2 linked regions of the Ovis aries genome follow. The protein of the gene in region 2 purifies or fractionates together with the protein of the main gene of each other region. This does not show direct contact. Links are inferred from orthologs where the notes say so. Each region holds a gene or a part of one and is shown on either strand. Other genes may lie near its edges.

The links. Proteins that work in one complex are often made in the same cells at the same time.
Region 1: the proteins of HMGA1 (region 2) and EZH2 purify together in Homo sapiens (affinity purification with mass spectrometry; 3 studies listed by BioGRID and IntAct, with this or other methods). This does not show direct contact. The link is inferred for Ovis aries from reciprocal best matches to the Homo sapiens genes HMGA1 and EZH2.

Annotation. Positions count from the first base shown.
Region 1 is NC_056057.1:113,211,548-113,221,187, forward strand, and holds the start of EZH2 (histone-lysine N-methyltransferase EZH2), read right to left. Parts: upstream 5,826-9,640; 5' UTR 5,699-5,825; intron 5,609-5,698; exon of another isoform or gene 5,593-5,608; intron 1-5,592. UniProt on the Homo sapiens protein: Polycomb group (PcG) protein. Catalytic subunit of the PRC2/EED-EZH2 complex, which methylates 'Lys-9' (H3K9me) and 'Lys-27' (H3K27me) of histone H3, leading to transcriptional repression of the affected target gene.
Region 2 is NC_056073.1:8,456,946-8,466,585, reverse strand, and holds the start of HMGA1 (high mobility group protein HMG-I/HMG-Y), read right to left. Parts: upstream 5,595-9,640; 5' UTR 5,504-5,594; intron 5,247-5,503; 5' UTR 5,124-5,246; intron 4,830-5,123; exon of another isoform or gene 4,081-4,829; intron 2,014-4,080; 5' UTR 1,971-2,013; coding exon 1,869-1,970; intron 51-1,868; coding exon 1-50. UniProt on the Homo sapiens protein: HMG-I/Y bind preferentially to the minor groove of A+T rich regions in double-stranded DNA. It is suggested that these proteins could function in nucleosome phasing and in the 3'-end processing of mRNA transcripts.

The DNA of each region.
Region 1 (9,640 bases), on a different chromosome or scaffold from region 2:
AGGAAATGGCCGCCTACTCCAGTATTCCTGCCTGAAAAATTCCATGGACAGCGGAGCCTCATGGGCTACAGTCCACAGGGTTGGAAAGAGTCTGACACCACTTAACGACTAAGCATGCACGCACCCACTGCTCCTAATCAGACCAACTACTAAAAGCAGCATTCCACAAAAAGCGTCTGGAATTAGTCAACAGCAAACCATAATCTTCCGTCAGGATAACCCAAGACCACATGTTTCTTTGATGACCAGGCAAAAACTGTTACAGCTTGGGTGGGAAGTTCTGATTCATCCACCATATTCGTCAGACATTGCACCTTTGGATTCCCATTTATTTCAGTCTTCACAAAATTATCTTAAAGGAAAAAATTCAATTCCCTGGAACACAATAAAAGGCACCTAGACAGTTCTTTATTCAAAAAGATAAAAAGATTTGGGGAAACAGAACTATGAAGCTGCCTGGAAAATAGCAAAAGGCAGTAGAACAAAATGGTGAATACATTGTTCAAAAAAGTCCTTGATGAAAATGGAAAAATGTGTCTTTATTTTCACTTTTAAAACTGAAGGAACTTTTTGGCCAAACCAATATATTCGCGCGAATACACTGGAAAGTTTGGGACGAATACACAGCAAACTGTTAATGGACACGGAATGGGGTTACAGGGATCAAGAAATGTTCACTTGATAAACATCTAAATTATGTCAGTATTTTAAATTGAATACATAGTGTCTGTTTTTTTAAACAATAGACAATTAGAAGTAAACATATAAATCCTATGTGGCACTATTTTCTTTATATACAGATATTTAAGTTTGGGAAGTGTTTAGTTCCATGAATGAGAAAGTACATCTAGTCTTTAAAAAATAATACTGGCACAGTTACTAAGACTCACTTATTAAAGACTCACTAAGAGCTTCACGTGTATTCATTTATTTAATCCTCTCCATAACCTTATGGAATGAATGCTTATCATTAAGACACCAATTTACACACAAGGAACTTAGACTTCAAGGACAATGTGACAGGGTACCCAAGTTATATGACTCCAAAGACCACACTCAAAGCTTTCCTATCTTCCCCCCAGAGTGCACTCTATTAGAATTCTGGCTGAAAAAAAATCCACAAAGACATCTTTTACTTAGTCTGGGGCATCAGATCCCATAAAACTACAATTCAGTTCAGTTCAGTCTGAACTACAATTTATCTACTTTTAAATATAATTTTCTGATTGATTCAAATAAACTCATTCTTCTTGGAACCCATGATTGCCTTCAATCATCCAGAAGACAAGTAGATAACGTGAAGCTGATAATAGGAGCCAAACAGAATCTAAGTTTGGATCCTGCCTGCAAATTCCTAGCTGATAATCCTGGGCAAATTCTTAACCCTCTACACCAAAGCTTACTTATCTGTAAATGTTTGCAGAGTGTGCTGTTGTTAAAGTTCTTTTAACAGTAAAATACACATAAAATTTACCATTTCAACCATTTTTAAGCACACCATTCAGAGGCATTAAACACATTCAAAACATTGACCTTCCATGTCCAAAGTTTTTTTCACCTTCCAAATAGCAGCTCTGTCCCAATTAAACACTAACTTCCCATTCCCATCTCCCCTCTGCTTCTGGTAACCCCTCGTTCTACCTTCTGTCTCTGTAAATTTGCCTGTTCTAGCTACCTCCTATAAATGGAATCATAAACTGTTTCCTTGTGTGTCTGGCTTATTCTCCTTAGCATACCATTTGCAAGTTTCACCTACGTTATTGTATGTCTCAATATGTCATTCCTTCAATCGCTGAACATTCCATTGTATGTACACAACATGTTTCATTTATCCAAACCTCTGCTGATGAGCCCAAGGTGGTTCTCGCAAGAATTAAAAACAAAGCACCTGATGTGAATATTACCACAATAAAAAACAAACCAAGCAAACGAATGAAGCATCTGGCAAACAGTAGGCTCTTTAATATTAATGTCTTTTTTTCCACTTTGTCATATTTTTGCACCACATAGCAGTGCAACGGCAAGACAAAAACAGTGCAACCACCTTACAAATTTATCAGCTGCGCCTTTTGAGATATTATTGGATTCACAACTACATTTACCATCTTAAAAGAATGATGAGGAGCATCCCAATAAACAATCAGTAACTACACTAATACTACTTTCTTCAGTTTTAGCTTCAAAACCTAGCTCAAGTTATTCCAATCAAGAACTCATTAATGGTAACTAAACCCCTTTTGATTAAAAGACGTATTCGTCCCCTAAATTTCGGTCAATTTCAACACAATTTAAGCAGATACTATATGCCAGGTATATCCAGACGACCCATCAAGCTTCTCTCTGGCTGCCTGAAATACCAAATACGAAAACCAACAGTTACATCTAAAGTGTATCCGATTTTCAGTATCTTAGGGTATTAATAATTAGGAGAAACCATGGAACTTGTACACCTTGATAATTATTTTTCTTTGTAACCACTGCCACTCAGGGAGAAAAATACCTTCCAAAGCTCTTCACAACATGAATATATCCTGTTTGCTTTCCAAGTTGCTTTGTCAAAATATTTCCCTATATTTTCAGGATTTCCTTTATTCATTCAACTATTAATCCCTGCTCTCTAGCAACTCAGGTGCACAAAGAAAACTAAGACAGAGCCTCTGCCTCAAGGCACTTCAGAGGGAAGGGAGGGATGGCACCAGCAAGTGATTTCAATTGGATACAGGCTATAGTAAAGAATACCAACGAAGCCCTTGAAGAGACATGGAAGGCCTCCAGCAGGTGAAGCTTTCTCTGAACTTAATAAGCTGTTCCTCTTCTGCTCTCCCCAAACTGCACACTTCACCTGCCCACGTAGAAGTCATCATTCACAGAAAATGTTTTCTTCATTTGTATGGACATAAAGACTGCAAGGCAGATCCATAAATCATTTCCAACTGACTCCAGAATTCATTAGCTCATCATAGGATTTTTCCTTGCTGTTAGTTTTTAAAAAGCAGATCAACTTTCTTAATCACTTCTTTAGGCCAAGTCAGAAACTAACTCAGACTCCTGGAGCATGCCAGCTCAAAGGATGGGGGATATCCTGGAAAATCTCCATGCGACCTGGGGAAATCTACCTACACATTTCTAGTGGTCAACACAAAGATAATCACTTTTACGTATGCATGCAAGGCAAAGCTGGTATAAACGAATTTGTGCTCTTTTTCTTTGCCTAACTATACTAAATCAACAAGCATAGTTTTTTATCACTGCTACTTAAACTAAATACACTCTCAATTCAAACACAAAAAATTTAAAACCAATTCCCCCAAAAACCTTTTCAAACAAAATCTTGTGGCAAGTACAAAGATAGTAATTATCAAATATAATGTACACAAGATGGGGAAAACTGAATTTTGTATTCTAAAAGATTCAAATTTCTGCCAAAATCTGCATAACTAGCTCACCTCCTAACAATGGGCAAGATTATCAGTAGGACTTTTTATAATTACCAACAACTAATATAAATGTAGACAATACTTAGGAACAGCACCTGGAATGTCAGTTCAGTGATGTTGAACACTGCAAAATGTGTAAGACTTTTACACTACATTTCTTTGTCTCCACTTTTTTGAAACCGTAAAATAGAAGGCTGCACATTAGATCAACAGATAAAACAATGCAAATAAGAAGAGTGTCTAAGTGTTTCTAAATTTCGTTCCTTTGAATACGTTCACTTTCCACAAAAATTAATATTTAAGATGCCATTTTCCTAAGTGTTTCCAAGACTTTAAACATTACATTCTCTCACACACCTCCAAAAAGAGAATAGGATTCTCTATATCTAAGACTAGAACCCCATCTATTCCTAACTTTAGGGAATAGGAAAAGGAAATTAAAATGTATCTTGAATACTTTCGTTTTCTTGCAAATAAAATGATCAATAGTTAGGATTACACACTTGCTCTACATTTTATCTCCAAACATAAAATATTTGCTAATGGTCATAAGGAGTAATAGAAAATAAACTCCACAACCAACCCCCCTAGCTCCCTAGTGATCTAAGGGTTAGGATCCCACCCGCTCGATCTCAAACCCCCCTAGAAGTACAGACTACATTCACCTGTGTTAGCATTAGTGTTTTTTAAAAGCTTTTTTAAACTGTTGTTTTAAATGTTGTTTTATGTGACATTGAAACGCCACAAAACTAAGCTGATAACGACCTTTCAAACCCAGCTAGCAAACCGTGCAGCATTTAAAGCATTTTTAAATACCAAAGACATCTTTATTTCCAAATGAATTAAAATTTTACAGATCCCGTGCGACAAAGTAGCTTAACTGCGGACAGCACACGTTCGATTTCTTAGGCAACGAACATTTCTGCAGCCAGTCTTTTCTGACTCAACAAAGCTATTGTTCACGGAAAACAAGTCCAATTAATGAGAAATTGCTAACCATACCATCCAAACACACATTTAGCATAAGCGTTTTCTTTGGACCAACTCTTTGTACCATCTCTTCCCCGTTCATCCCCTAGGGATTCGGGGAACAATCTCTCCTCACTAAATGACAGCTGATTTCGTTAGCACCTGTCGCCAGTCTCACACGAGTTGGCCAAAACAGCCTGGACAGGTTTCTTTTTTTTTTTTTTTTTTTGGAAGATGATGATTCTTCAGAAACTGGGGATTCACCAGGCGTTGAGTTCACTAAGTTTTCCAAAATACCACGCTTCTCGATCCCTCCCGTTCTTCACAAAGTGACCCTGAGGCACCGACTTTTGGGGAGGCGGAGATGGGGGTGGGGGGCCCACAAGGACGCGTGAACTCGACGGAAAGCCCTCCGTAACGAACAAAACCGCGGAGATGGGGGCGGGGGTGGGGGGTAGAACAGCGCGACCCGCCCCTCAAACTTAACGGAGAGCCCCGCCGAGACGACAGAGGCGGCCGGGGACCGCCTGGTCCGAGCGGGGCTCGGGGCCTCAGGGCTCCGGGGCAGCTTTCGGCGGAAATGTCAGCAAGCGCGGACGCCCGAGTCCGGTCTCCGCGCGCCGTCCCGGCCCCCGCGGCCCCGGGCCGAGCCTGCGCGCTCGCGGGGAGGGGGCGTGGGGCCGAGCCCGCCCGCCCGCTCCCCACGCCCCCTCTCCGCCCGCTGTCAGGCCCCGGTGTCACTGCCCCTGACTCGCGCCGAGCTCCCCCGAGACACAGTCCGTCCTTTGTCTCTGAGTGCGCACTCGGCGCTGAGGTCCCATCAACTTGTGTGGGTCCCGTCCCACCCGGGCGCTCCCGCCGCCGTGCCGCTCCACACAAAGGAGACCGGGGGCTCGGGCGGCCGGCCCGCCCCGGGCACCCGAGCGCCCCCAGCCCGGCCCCGGCGCCTCGGGAGGAACGGGCGCGCGAGGGGACCCCCCCCCCCCCGCAAACCCTCCGCTCGGCGCCCGCCCGGGCTCCCGCCTCGGGTTTCTCTGGCTCCCACACAGCCCGCCCGCGGGGGTCGCGCGGATCGGCCCGGGCCCACAGCCCTTTCCGAGGGGGGTGAGGGGAGGTCTCTTCTCACCCCCACGAGCCCCAGAGGCTCCCCGGGAAAGCCCGCTTGTGGGGGTGGGGGGAGGATTACCCGGACCGGCTGAGCGGCAGCGGAGATGTCCCGCCGCCGCCGCCCCACGCCGAGCTCCGGAGCCCCGCCGGCCGGCCGGCCTGCCGGCCCGACAGCGGCGCGTTACCTGCGCCCCGCGCCCCAGCCCGCGCCGCTCCCGCGCGCCGCTCCCGCGCGCCACCGCTGCCGCCGCCGCCGGGGCTCCACCGCCTTCTGCGTCCCAGTGGGTGTCGGACGCTCCCGGACCGAGCGCCAAACCAGGCAGCCCAATCGCCATCGCTTTTATTTGGCCCCCCCTGTCCAACCAAGCGCCGCCCCGATTGGCGGGACGCGAGGCGGGCTCCCGTCCAATCACAGGGCCCGCCGGCCTCTGAGGCGCCGAGCCAGCCCCACGCAGAGGCGCCCGCGGGACTCTGCCGGGCCGGGCCGGCGGCGCGTGCGCGCGGGCGGGCAGGCGCTGAGGGACGCTGCCGCCTGAGTGGAAGCGCCGCGCCGGCTCTTTGTTCTTTTCTCCGAACGCCCGGCGCCTCTCAGGAAGGCGGTGGGGCCGGCGTTCGGGGAAGAAGGGCCTCCGGAGCCCGAATCCCCAAACCGCGGGCGGGAAGGCGGGCTGGGCGGGGTGGCGGGAACCGGCCGGAGGGCGGGACGGCGCGCTCGCGGCGCTTGGCGGGAACCGCCGCTTCGGTGTTCCCGGGCCGGAGGGGCGGGGCGGGGCCGAAAGCCAAGTTTGAACCAGTTCAAAACTCGGGGTGGTAACGGTTTCAACTGCCGCGCTCTTTTTCCCCGCGCGCGCAGCGGAGGCCCTGGCCGGCCGGCCGGCGGGCGGGAAGAGCCGGACACGAGGGCTCGCGGCGCCCGGTCTGCCGGCCAGACGCCCTCTACGGCCCCAGCTCCAGCCCGGCTGGTCTCGGGCGAGGAGCTGCGAGCCTCCCGCCCTCCGGCGTGGCCGATGCGCCGTCCCCCGAGCCGAGCGGAGCGCCCTGCCGGCTACTTTTGTCTGCTGCCGCCCCTCGGCCGCTTGGCCCGACTCGGGTCCCACTGGACTTTGGCTAGTCGATCCCACAGTGCCCATCGCCTTAGAAACCCTGGGAAAGAGAGAAGTCACGATTATTTCAGATTCCTCATTCAGAGCGCCTTGTTCAAACCCTTTCCAGTGTTGCAGTGCCAAGCACGTGTCAGCGTTAAAAATCATTTATCAAGGATGATTGTTCATGTCCCTCGTGCTAACTTCTCTACAAAGTATTAAGATGCCAGCATTTTTCAAGTATTAAAAAAAAAAAAAAAGATCATGGGGTGAGCCTGTCTCCACCCAGAGGAGTTAGTGCTATTCCACTTAGGATACAGTCGCCCTTTTTGATTTATCTGGCAGTGAAGTTAAGGTTATTCCGATTTTTTTTTTTAGTAGGGTGTAACTATAGGGCAAAGTAACCCCCTCACCCACATAAACTGAGATTCCAAATTGAGAGCTCACGTGCGGGGCAGGGAAGACGGTCACCTATGAGCTCGAGCTAAAAGCCTAACGGAATCATGCTTTAACGGAATCATGCTTTTAGTATTTTATTTAATTTTTAAATGACTAAGATTTTTAATAACTAGTTGCTCTCTTTGTGTTCCCAGAGACTGGAACAGTCATTTAACCCACTGATCTACTGCCTTTCCTAAATCACGGTTCCGTTCCTCACATATTAAAGTGTGAAAGTGAAAGTCACACAGTAGTGTCCGACTCTGCGATCCCACGGGCTATACCTTGCCGCCCTCTGTCCATGGAATTCTCCAGGCAAGAATACTGGAGTGACGAAAGCAAAAGATAGAAAACAATCCTGTGCCCAAATAAAAGCATGAATAAATGATAATAGGGCAAAAGCAAGTTATGCATCTGAGTGCGTGTGTGCTTAGTTCCTCAGTCTATCGGATTCTGCCCACCCTATGGACTATAGCCAGCCAGGCTGTCCATGGGATTTCCCCCGCAAGAATGCTAGAGTGGGTTGCCATTTCTTTCTGCAGTGCATCTTCCCGACCCAGGGATTGAACCTGAGTCTCCTGCCTCTCCTCCGTTGGCAGGTGAATTCTTAACCAATGAGCCACCTTGAAAGCCCTATGCATCTGAGAGGTAACTATAAGCTAATGTAACAATTCCATCTGTCTTCTACTGGACAGACATTCATAGTCCATGGTACAAGGCCTCCATCTAGACCACTTCCATCTAGACCACTAATTTACAATTGCTTAAGCATTTAAATCTCAAAAGTTAACTTCATCCCTAAATCACTAATCAAATTATTGATTTTACCTCATATTAAAATGTGGGCATTTTTTAAAGAAAGATAAAGGAAATTCTTTTAGAGATTGTAAGCAAATCCAAGCAATATACAAACACACAGCATAGCATGAACTGTCATGTGAGTTGCTAAGGCATTTAGAATCAAGAAATGACATTGGATCAAGATGTTCCCCCCAAAAAAATACCTCAGGAAAGGATATTTTAGCCAGACAATAAAGCAAGTGTAAGATTTAGATTTATGGGAGTGAGGGCACTTGAGAATGAACATGTGCTCCTCAGGATTAGGTGGAGTATAAGTAGAGCTGAGAACTCCAGTTGGCAAAGAGTGAGAGAGCAAATTAAGAGAACGAATATTGTAGAATTTATATTTACCATACATATTTATGTTAAATATAATACGAAGGCTGACCTGGAGCAGGAACTGGGGGTGCCAGTGAATTACAATAGTCTTAATTCAGGGACAACATTATCCAGTGAAGTAAGATGTTTTAGGTCACAGTGTGGCAAAAAAAGAGGATATATTGAAAACATTGCCAAAAGATTTAATAATATATGGAGGACATATGTTATTGTGCAACTCAACTTTGTATATTCACAAATACAGGAAAGTTGGGAGGAAGAAGTATTTCATTTTAGATACTAAGAAAAATTACCTAAAGATTTTCAAGCTGGGAAAGAAGAAAGCATGTATGAACCCCCAATTATTGAGTATGAATCCCAAATTACTAAAGGGACCTAGGTGAAGCAGAAAGCCAGGCTGAACACAAAGGTAGATGTGAACAGTGAGAGTCACCAAGCGTTTTTACCTCTGTGAAGATGCTCAGATGACAGGCATGCTCCTAATCACAGGTCATTATGTCCTCTGTTAAAGAGAGATTCACTATTACAGGGTAAAACCAAAAAGTGGAGAATTAAACTCTGAATTCAGGACAGAGCTCAACTTCATTCACTGCTGTTCTCCCAAAGTCCACCACTGCACACAGTATATCATCAGGGTTTTCCAGAGGAGGACAGGAAAAGGTCAAGTGCAAAATTAAGGTTTATTGGCATCACAGAACTTCCCTTTCAAGCCTACGAATGGGATCTACTTCTCACACATTCATTTGTTCACCTTGCATCCAACAAGTATTATGGAGGGCTTACAACGTGAAAATTTCTGAAAGAGATGGGAATACCAGACCACCTGACCTGCCTCTTGAGCTGCCTATATGCAGGTCAGGAAGCAACAGTTAGAACTGGACATGGAACAACAGACTGGTTCCAAATAGGAAAAGGAGTGCGTCAAAGCTGTATATTGTCACCCCGCTTATTTAACTTATATGCAGAGTACATCATGAGAAACGCTGGGCTGGAAGAAACACAAGCTGGAATCAAGACTGCCGGGAGAAATATCAATAACCTCAGATATGCAGATGACACCACCCTTATGGCAGAAAGTGAAGAGGAACTAAAAGCCTCTTGATGAAAGTGAAAGAGGAGAGTGAAAAAGTTGGCTTAAAGCTCAACATTCAGAAAACGAAGATCATCTGGTCCCATCACTTCATGGGAAATAGATGGGAAACAGTGGAAACAGTGTCAGACTTTATTTTGGGGGGCTCCAAAATCACTGCAGATGGTGATTGCAGGCATGAAATTAAAAGATGCTTACTCCTTGGAAGGAAAGTTATGACCAACCTAGATAGCATATTCAAAAGCAGAGACATTACTTTGCCAACAAAGGTCCATCTAGTCAAGGCTATGGTTTTCCAGTGGTCATGTATGGATGTGAGAGTTGGACTGTGAAGAAAG
Region 2 (9,640 bases):
TTCGGTCGGCCCCGAGGTCTCTTAGGTGTTGGCACTTCACTGGGCTCCTTCTGCAAAGACAGATGAGACAGTCAGAGACGTGGAAGCCACCTTCCCTGTCCCTTCAGGACAGAGCCCTCTGCCCCAGCCCAGCAGTGGTCTGCCCGCCCCCACTCCAGAATGCACAGGAACCATGGCAGGTAACCCTTGGGATTCAGGTTCTCCATCTGACATTCTTTTGCAAAGCCTTTCCCCTAGCTTCTCTGCAACAGCAAAATGACAAGACACCAGAAGGCCTCTGGGAAGGGTGTCGTGGGGGCAGAAAGACACGAGATAGCTCTGTCCACACCCCAGCTCAGCCTCTGACCAGCTCTCAGATCTTGGGCCAGATGCTGAATGAAGACAGGACAGTCTGCAGTACTGGGCTGTCATCACTGCCCACCCCACCCCCACCTCCGCCAGAAGGCAGGGATGCAGAAGAGGAGAAAGGATGCCCCTTCCCCTAGAAGGAGCCTCCAGCTCTCCCTGCAAACCAGACTCCTTCCAGGTTGCCTCCTAGGGAGGACTCATGTCCACATCTTGGAACCCCAGAGACCCCTGCCATTTGGGCCACTAAAACTTTAATAGACCCGAGATAGAATAAAAAGCTGCTACATAATGCACAGAAGCCGGGCAGTAAAGGCACATCAGTGGTGGTTTCCCAGGGTGGCTGCCGGTGGGCTGTTCATCGCCCAGTAACCGCACACCCCTTCTGACACCCCTCACTGACAAGCCCACAGGCAGCAGGGGGAGGCCAAAGGAATCAGACTAAGGGGGGTGACTTCTCCACCCGTGAAAAGGGCTCTGAAAGAGACAGATGAATTCCACCACCCATGAGACTCCTCACGGCTCCTCAAGAGCTAGTACGGAGATTCCCAGTGGGGGCGGGGAGGCGTGCCTGGGGTCTGGTGGACAAGGATCAGCTTCAGTTCCTTTCCCCTTCTCTCCCCCAGGAAAGGAAAGGAACAGGGCTTCACCCACAGCTGCGCCCTCATGTGGGACAGCTCCCTCTCGAGAAACCAAGGTCTCCACCAGGTAACAGGTGGCCCACACAGCCTGACTGGCCAAGCTCCCCAGGGTGCCCAGAACCAGGGCTCTGAGTCACTCTGCCACCAACTCCCCAACGTTGTAAACTTTCGGGCTTTTACAGAACCAGGCAGAGCCCAATGCAGGGTCACTCAAGGAAGCCCAAGAACAGGTGATGGCCCCTGCCCCGGGATGAAGAACTCCAGAAACGGACAGGAAGCATTAAGTAAGTTAACAGAGTGCTGCCACGCATGCTGCTGGGCTTACGTACGTAAACGGTCACGTTTCTATAACTCATCTTTGTTGGCGTTTAGTCGCCAAGTCACCTCCAACTCTTTTATGACCCCACGGACGGTAGCCCACCAGGCTCCTCTGTCCATGGGATTTCCTGGGCAAGAAGACTGGAGTGGGTTGCCATTTCCTCCTCCAGGGGATCTTCCTGACCCAGGGATCGATCCCACATCTCCTGCTTGGCAGGCAGATTCTTTACCACTGAGCCACCATACTTCAATACACTGGTCCACAATGGACTGGAAATAAAAGGTGAGTGGTTTACCAGTGGAAGCTCTGGCCTGCATGACTACAGGCTCACTCCTGGCTTGAACTCAGGTTCAGCGCTCCCTTGGGCCACACTCCTCTCCCGGGGTCTCGGGCAGCAGAGACGTGTGTGTGGGGAGCGCACATATGTATAGGAAGGATGCCGCACCCTGCCAGTCCTGTTTTCACCTGCCAGGATGCCGGAAACCTCCCTAGCCCTAAGAGGTAAACCAAGGTGAAGGTCTGGACAGCCAGCTGCCTCCTGCCAGCGCAGCCCCAGGGCTCACCGGAGGCTGCTTGCGAGGCCGGCCCCGCCCGCGCTTCTCAGCGCCGTCCTTCTCCTGCTTGGAGGCCAGGGGCTGGCTGGACTTCGAGCTCGACTCGCTCATCTTCCCTCGTCAGCAGAGCAGGCGAGGAGCCACGGCTGGGCTGCTGGGAGGCAGGGAAAGTGTTTTAGATGAAACTTCTTGCGTTAGCCACCTCCAGACCCTCATCACTCCCGCCCAGCAGGAAACTGCCTTCTCCCAGGGCCCCCCAGGACTCCCACCCTGGCCTAGGGTTGTCTGCCCAGCCCGCCGTGCAGGCTGCAGGGTGGGGCTGGGCCGTTGGCCCTAATCAGGGCCTTATCTCCTGCTCAGAAGGGCTCTTTGTTGCCCTGCCACCCCCACTCAAGAGCGCAGCCAGCCCAGACCTGGCTGTGGGTGAGGCCGTCCCGGCTGAGGTGTGGGCGAGATGGTCCTCAGGCTGCCAGGCCCCCCCCCTCCACTGTGCTGCCCCTTCTCTTTTAAGGCAAGCCAAGCCTGGGTAGCTCGCGGGGAGCACGGGAAGAGAGGCGAGCAAGGAACGAGCCCTGCACATCTGCCTGGCAGCCATGCCACCAGTCCCTGGGCCACCTTGCCCACAGCACTGCCCAGGGCCCCACCAGTTCTCTCTGCTTCCCTCTCCCTGGGTTAAACCTTGGAGGGTCAAAGATGCAAACAATTTGGGAAATGGGGGCTAAAACCACACTGGGTGAGGTGCGGGGAGGAAAGGAAACCACCCAAAGCTGAAAGGGGAGTCTCCTCTTCCCCTCAGCCCACTCGCACCCATCTGGAGTCAGATGGGATCTTTCTCTTTGATGCCTCCTCACATGAGGGGCAGGGACTTCTCCAACTGAGAGGGAGAAAACACTAGCTGACCCCCTGAAGCCCTAGGAGTGCTGATCCTCAAAGCACCTTGGTCCTTTTCTAGCATATTCCCTCTTCTTAAGAGGACTCTTTGGACTTAATCAGTCCTACAAATACAGAATTCATGTAAAACCACCCTCTGCAAGGGGCACCTGCACCTGTATTGGGGAGTCTCTTCCAGAAGCTGAGAAAGAGCAACAAGGGGCCCCCACACCTATCCTCCCAGTTAGTATCCCCAAGTTACAGACAGAGATTGGTCTTCGGAGGCTGCCCTTGGCAAAGGGTGGGCCCAAGTAGCTCTACTTCCAGAAAAGCCCTTCAACCTATAAAATGGAGGTAATGATGCTCCACCTGTCTTGCCTACGTCTGCAGCAAGAATCAAACTAGGTAAAAATTAAAAACGCTTAAACAACTGAAAGGTTCATTCCAATCAAAATGAGAACTAGAACATTTGAAAATGACTCTCCCTTTTCAGATTCAGACTATTTCCAATTTTAACCCAAAGAGAGGAAAGCCTGTCTTTTTTGCAAACTTGTGATTGTTACGAGGGGCCTAAGGCCCCTGATTCTCAAGTATTGAAATGCTCCAGACGGCGAGACTTCGTCTGGTAATTATTCCATTTCATAATATTTCAGACTTGAAGACCCTTTTAAACAAGGTGGTTGGCGATTTATCCTGCTCCATCATTAGTGGCTTGGCCTGCTCTGTAATTACAGGCAGTGATTAGAATCTTACATTACACCACAGATCCCCCTTCAAAACTAAACATCAAAATTAATCAGCTAAATGAGCGCTGACCTCACATGAGGTTTGCTGGAGGCCCCCTCCAAGAGGGGGTTCTAGTTGGGCGAAGCCAGCCCCTAATCCCACAAGGCCCAGCCCAGCCTGCCTGGGGACCCTGTTGAGTGCGTCTGGTATTTCCCCACTTCTTGCTGCTGGGGACCCTTTAATCCGCTCACCCCCACCCCAGATCCAGGCCTCCATGAACTGAATTAAGGCCTGAGGCCCTCTCTGGTGAGACCAACAAATGCTTGTCTCTTCCACCTGTTTCTGAACATCAGGGAGGCCTGGCTTGGAGAAGCCACGTTTGAGGCCCAACTTCAGTCCTATCGTCGGTAATAAGCCCTTTCGGGCCTCAGACTTGTCCTCTCCACACAATGTGGGCGCCACAAACGCTAAGGCAATCCGTGGGCATGACTCTAGGAAATCACCATGGGGCTGCCTCGTTTCCTCCCAAAAAGTAGCCTAGAGAAAGGGTTGATGAGGTGCCCAAGGTCACAGAGCAAATTGGAATGGGTTCCTGGCGACCCTTCTCGCCCGCCAGTTTCCTTACCCGCCCGGGGGCTGGTAAAACCCCTGTCGCCCCTACTCCAGACCGGCCCTGGGTGACTCTGCAAGTGTCTGCGCCCGGCCGTTGCTGGTCGGCCGGAGGGACGAGGGGCCGGAGCGCGCGGGGGGAGGGGCGCAGGCCGCGGGTGCAGGCGCGGGAAACCGGTGCCCTCCGACCGCATGCACCGCCACGAGGGTGCACCCGGCCCCACTTCCTGCCAGAGGGGGCACCCAAGCCCGCCTTGGGGCAGGAAACCTGGCGCGCGCGGGGGAGAGGAAGAAAGCCGCCTCCCTCCGCGACTTCCCCGCAAAATAAAAGCCCCAGTTTAAAAAAAAAATGAAACGGGGAGTCAAAGGGACTAGTTCCAACAGAGCCCAGCAAAGCAGAGAAACCAGTTTGTGGGGGCGGAGGGCAGGCCGGGCCCGGGGGGCTGAAGAGGCGCAGGCCGGGCCAGAGGTGGGGTCGGGGTGAAGCCCCAAACCCAGGCCAGGGAGTCGGCCTCGGCTGCGGAGTGAGCGCCGGGATAAAAGGCCGAGCCCGGAGTTCAGGCCGAATTGCGGGGTTCCCGCCCATCCCACACCCCCACTTACAGAACTTCCCCAGGCTGCGGGGCCGCCCGGCCCCGGGCTCTCCCGCCGCGCCCCAGCCTGCCCCTCTCCCCGCCCCCACGGCACAGGCCCGGGCTCGGGCTCGGGCTCGGGCGGGAGCGGCGGCCGCGCGAGGTGCACCGAGAGCCGCCGGGTGCACGACTCGCGCTCGCCGCAGCCGCGCACCCCCTCCCCCACCGCGCGCTTCTCCCGGGTCCCCGCCCCCCGCACGGCGCCCGCGGCGCGGGGGCAGGGGTGCGGGCGCCCTCCCCGCGCCGCCCGGCCCCACCGCCCGCCCCCCGCGCCGCGCGGCCCTCCCCCGCCGGCGGCTCGCGCAGCCCCGGCCTGGGAATAAAGCCGGAGGCGCGCGCTGCAGCCCCGGGGCGGCTTGCAGGAGGGGGCGGCGTGCGGCCGCGGCGCGGGCGCCCCCCTCCGCCGCCGGCCCCGGGACGGACTCACCGCGAGCTCGGCTGCCGGCCTGCGGTGCGTGCTCCGAGCTGCCGGGAGCGACGGTGTTGGGCGCTGAGGACCGGCCTGGCTCCGCCGCCGCCGCCGCCGCCGCCGCTGGTAGCAAATGCGGATCTGAAACCGGGAGAGAGAGCAGAAGCGCTCAGAGGCCGCCGCCGCCGCGTGCTCGCCGCCCTGGCCCCCGCGGGGTATTTATATGTCACATCCAGGCCGGGGGGGGGAGCACAAAAATATTCCACCTCCCCCGAAGGATGGCGAGGGGCAGGAAGCTAGGCACGGCCCGTGCGCGGCCTCAATAAATAAATAATTTATTTAAATGATAGATTAAAAAAAAAAAAAAAAAGGAGCCACCAGAGGGGCCGCGAACTCACGCCTTCTTGGAGCCGCGCCAGGGCCAGAAATAGCCCGGGCTCGGAGTCCCAATTAGAGGAGCGCAGCCCCGGCTCAGGGGAGCTTAAAAAGAGCGACCCAGGGGCAGGGGGGACGGGCCCGCCCGCGCCAGCCGTGTCACTGGGGGGCGGGGCCATGCAAATGAGCCTGGGGATTTAAAAGGGCGGCCGCCCGCCGCCGCCGCGCGGGTGGGTGCTGACGACGGCGAGGGCTGTCCGGAGACGGGCGTCTGGGGGCGGGCGCGCAGGGGGGCCGGGCCGGGGCCCAGAGGACGCGGCCCCCTCCCCGCAGTCCCCTGCCGGCAGACATGGGGAGCTGTTGAGAGGGGTCACCAGGAAGCCCTTCCCAGGGGCGGGCGTTCCCTGCGTGGAGTGGGCTCGCGCGAGAGACGCCTCTGGGGCCTTCCGGGCGTTAGGCCTGGCGCCCGCGGGCGCGTGAATGTGCGCGGGCGCCGGTGCCTGCGGGGGTCTGCGCGGACGCCGGTTAGAGAGTCCCGCGGCCTACCCGCCGCCCTCTCCGCCTAGATTACGCGGCTCCTTAGTTTCCCCTGGGCGGACAGGTGTCAGCGTGTGCATTTCGGTGCCAGCCGTGTGTGGCTGACTGGTGAAATGTAAGGTCTTGTGAAACTCGAACGTGAAACTTGTGAGATCCAGAGTTTAGATTTAATGGGTCCGAGTGAGCCATAATCAAGGTGCGGCCTCCACGCGAGGTAAACGATTGGCTCCTCTTCAGGTAAACCTGAGGGGAGGGCTCATTCCTTTTAAGTGACCCGGATGGTGTTGTAGAGACCAACGGCCCCACTGGGTGCCCTGGCCCCTTCCGCTGTGACTTTTTTTTTTTTTAGTAAAACGTGACCCGGTGGTCGCCTGGAAGCACTCTGAAGGCAGGGAATGAGTCTGCGCACGATGTACCCCGCCACGCCTGGCGCCATAAAGACCTATTGCGCAGCCCAAGCGGGAAGATGGCGGGGAGGGCGGTGGGGGAAGAAAGGGCGCTGTCAGGGGCGCGCCCTGCAGGCCGGGCCCGGGGCCTTCTCGGGCGCACTTCCCCGCCCCTGGTCCCCGAGGCGGCCTTCCCCATCTCCCCGTGATGCAGGGACTCGCAGTGCGGCCCAGTGACACACGGCTGTGACTCATGTTTCTCTGTGTTCCCCTTCTTCCTCCCCGGTCAGCGGAGGCCTCGGCTCAGCCCCCTCCTCAGGGGGCGAACCGGCGCTGGAGGGTGGAGGCGGATGGGGGGACGCCTGGAAAATCCTGCGCCCAGAATGGAGGCGGGGTGGGGAACCGGAGGGGCCGGGCCTCCCCGTTTCAGGAATGTCTCAGGAATGTTTCCGGTGGGGGTGGGGGGCAGGGCCGGGCCGGGGGCAGCACGTGCTCGGCCGGGTGGGGGCGGGGACGCCAGGGCGGGAAGGCGCTGGGGCCAACGGAGCGGGCTCAGGGAGGAGGGCGCGGGCCCGGGCGGGGAGCGGGCCGGGAGGCCGACCTCCGCGCGCCCGCCCTCCGCCCCGCGCCCAGGTGAAAGGCTGTCCCTGAGAAGTCTCCGGGCTGCCCCGGGAAGGGAGAGGAAGTCACCGAAGGGCGGCCTGAGGGAGAGGAGGGTGGAGGGGGAAGGCGAGGGCGAGGCTGGGGGAGGGGCGGCCTGCCCCTTTGTGTGGAGTGGGGGTGGGGCGGGGTGGAAGGCGCGCCGCTCCTTCCGTCTTTGTGCCCGGCCCGCCAAGCCAGCGCTTAGTAGGCCGCGAGTCCATTTGGCTGGAGAACCTTGAGTTGCCAGCTCGAGAACTTCTGCAGCGTTGAGTGGAAGAGCGAGCCTTCAGCCCTTACCCTACCCGCCTGGGTCACAGGCCCCTGCCGGCCACCCGGGCGCCCACGCCTGGGCCTGGGCGAGCCCCCCCAGAGCCGGTCTGCCCTGGCCCATAAGGCAGCCCAGGCCTCTAGGCCCAAGCTCCCAGGCTAGCCGCCCTTCCAGGCCCCTCCCCTCCGCGCGCTAACCTCGGGGCCGCTCTCCCTGGCCTGGGCGGCCAGTGGTGGCCCCTGAGAGGGAGGGAGGTGGGGAATAGGAAGAGAGCCTTCCGCCTCGACAGGGCTGTGGGAAAACTTGGCCAACTTTTTGGCCCGCTTCTAAACGAGCTGACTTGATCTTATTTTTCCTACTCTTACTTCCTCCTCATCCTGACTTCACCGACTTGTTACCTTGTATTATGTTTGTGTTTTTGTAAGCCACCTCAAACCCTCTGAAAGGAGGCAGGCGTAAATAAATTGGTAGGCAAATATAGTAGTTTGTTCCTCTCCGGGATTACCCACACCCTTGAAATCCAAATAACTCTACCCACTGACCCCCCACCTCCATTCTTTCTGGATTGCACATGCCCCAAATTGACTTCCTTTCTTTCCTCTTTCAATAAGTAGTTATTAAGCAGAAGGATGAGTGACAGGGATAAAGATGAATAAGACAAGTCATAGTCCTTGCCCCAGCGAATTTCCTGGGCAGAGACATCTAGAGGAACACAGTCCCAGAGGTGCTGTGAGGAGATAGCATTCAATCATTCATGCCATATTTATTGAAGGCCTACTGTGTACCAGGAACTAGTCCAAACTTTTAGGGTAAAACAATGAACAAAAACGTTCCCTGCATTCTTGAAACCTGAATTAGGGGGTTAGGTGCTTAAAGAGACACTTAATAGCTGCAACAGGAAGAAGGATGGGAGCTGAGGGGTTAGGGGGGTAGTTGCCAGAGAAGCCTGGAGGAGATGGGCTTTGACAGGCTTTGATGGGATTTGGTAGATGGAGGGCCAGGGGGAGCAGGCTGGGAGAGGGAGCTATTCTAGGCCTGGGGCATCCACCTCTTTGGTCAAAGCCTGAAGTAGGCGTCCCAAGGGAATTGGTCATACCAGAACCAGTCTTCCCCACAGGAAGCATTTTCTTACCATCCGAGTTAGATTATACATTTTTCACAAGGGCAACCCAATGAACTTCAGTGAACTCAACAAAAATGTCCAGAGAATGGGGAATTCGGGTCAACTTTATTTTTCAGGACAGCTGAAGGTTAAGCTCATTTCCACTTGGGCTGTTGAAATTCTTCCTGACAAATGTTAGTTCTTTCCTTGCCTTACTGAGTAGCAGGGCCTGGTCTCTCAGTTGTGGCTTGGAAATGCAGGGGTTTGGGTAGGTTGGGGGAGGGGGGGTGTCTCTTAGTGTCCTCTGGGTATTCATGGCTTAGTTCGTCTCTGCAGTCAATATATTCCTGAAGACGGGAAAGGCTACCCACTCCAGTATTCTGGCCTGGAGAATTCCATGGACTGTATAGTCCATGGAGTCAAAAAGAGTTGGACTCTACTGAATGACTTTCACTTCTTGCTTCTGAGTCAACTGCAGCTCTTAGGAGAGTAGAAGAGAAGACAGGTGTGATCATTCCATTTAGTGACTGGGTCAGTGGAGATTTTCCAAAAGGCATGGGGGTGAGGTGTGATGTGATGATGACGTGTGTTCAGCCCTCCAAGGAAGGCTGGGAGGAGGTGGGCAGAGGAGGGACAGGAATTACTATTGTTTAAACCAAGATACTTTTTAAAGTAAACCTTTTCCTGATGAAAACTGTACATATAGAAAATGCACAAATTCTTTATTCAGCTCAGTACATTTTCATAAAGTGAGCACCCTTGTGTCCCCAGCATCCAGATAAAGAAACAGAAATCTCCAGCTCCCTCTTGGCACAGTCCCAACTTCTGTTAGAATCCTTTGGTTTCACCTTCCAGGTGTACTGTATGGAAGAAATCATTTGTTAGGTATTCCTGGTTTCCTTTACCCAACAATTTGTCTGAGATTCATTCATGTTATTGCACACATGGCTGCAGAAAGTTCATTATCACTGCTGCTAAGTTACATGATGTGAATGTACCACAGTTTAGATATTCACTCTTGTTGAGGACATCTGGATAGTTTCTGGTTTGGGGCTATTACAAGTAGTGCTATTGCGAATGTTCTAGCGTATGTCTTGGTGAATAGATGTGCAAACTTCTGTTGGGTCCACACCTAAGAGAGGAATTCCTGGATCATAGGATATGTATACTCAGCTATTAGAGACAAGCAGAGCACTTAAGAGCAAAAGGAGGTACTATTAATAGT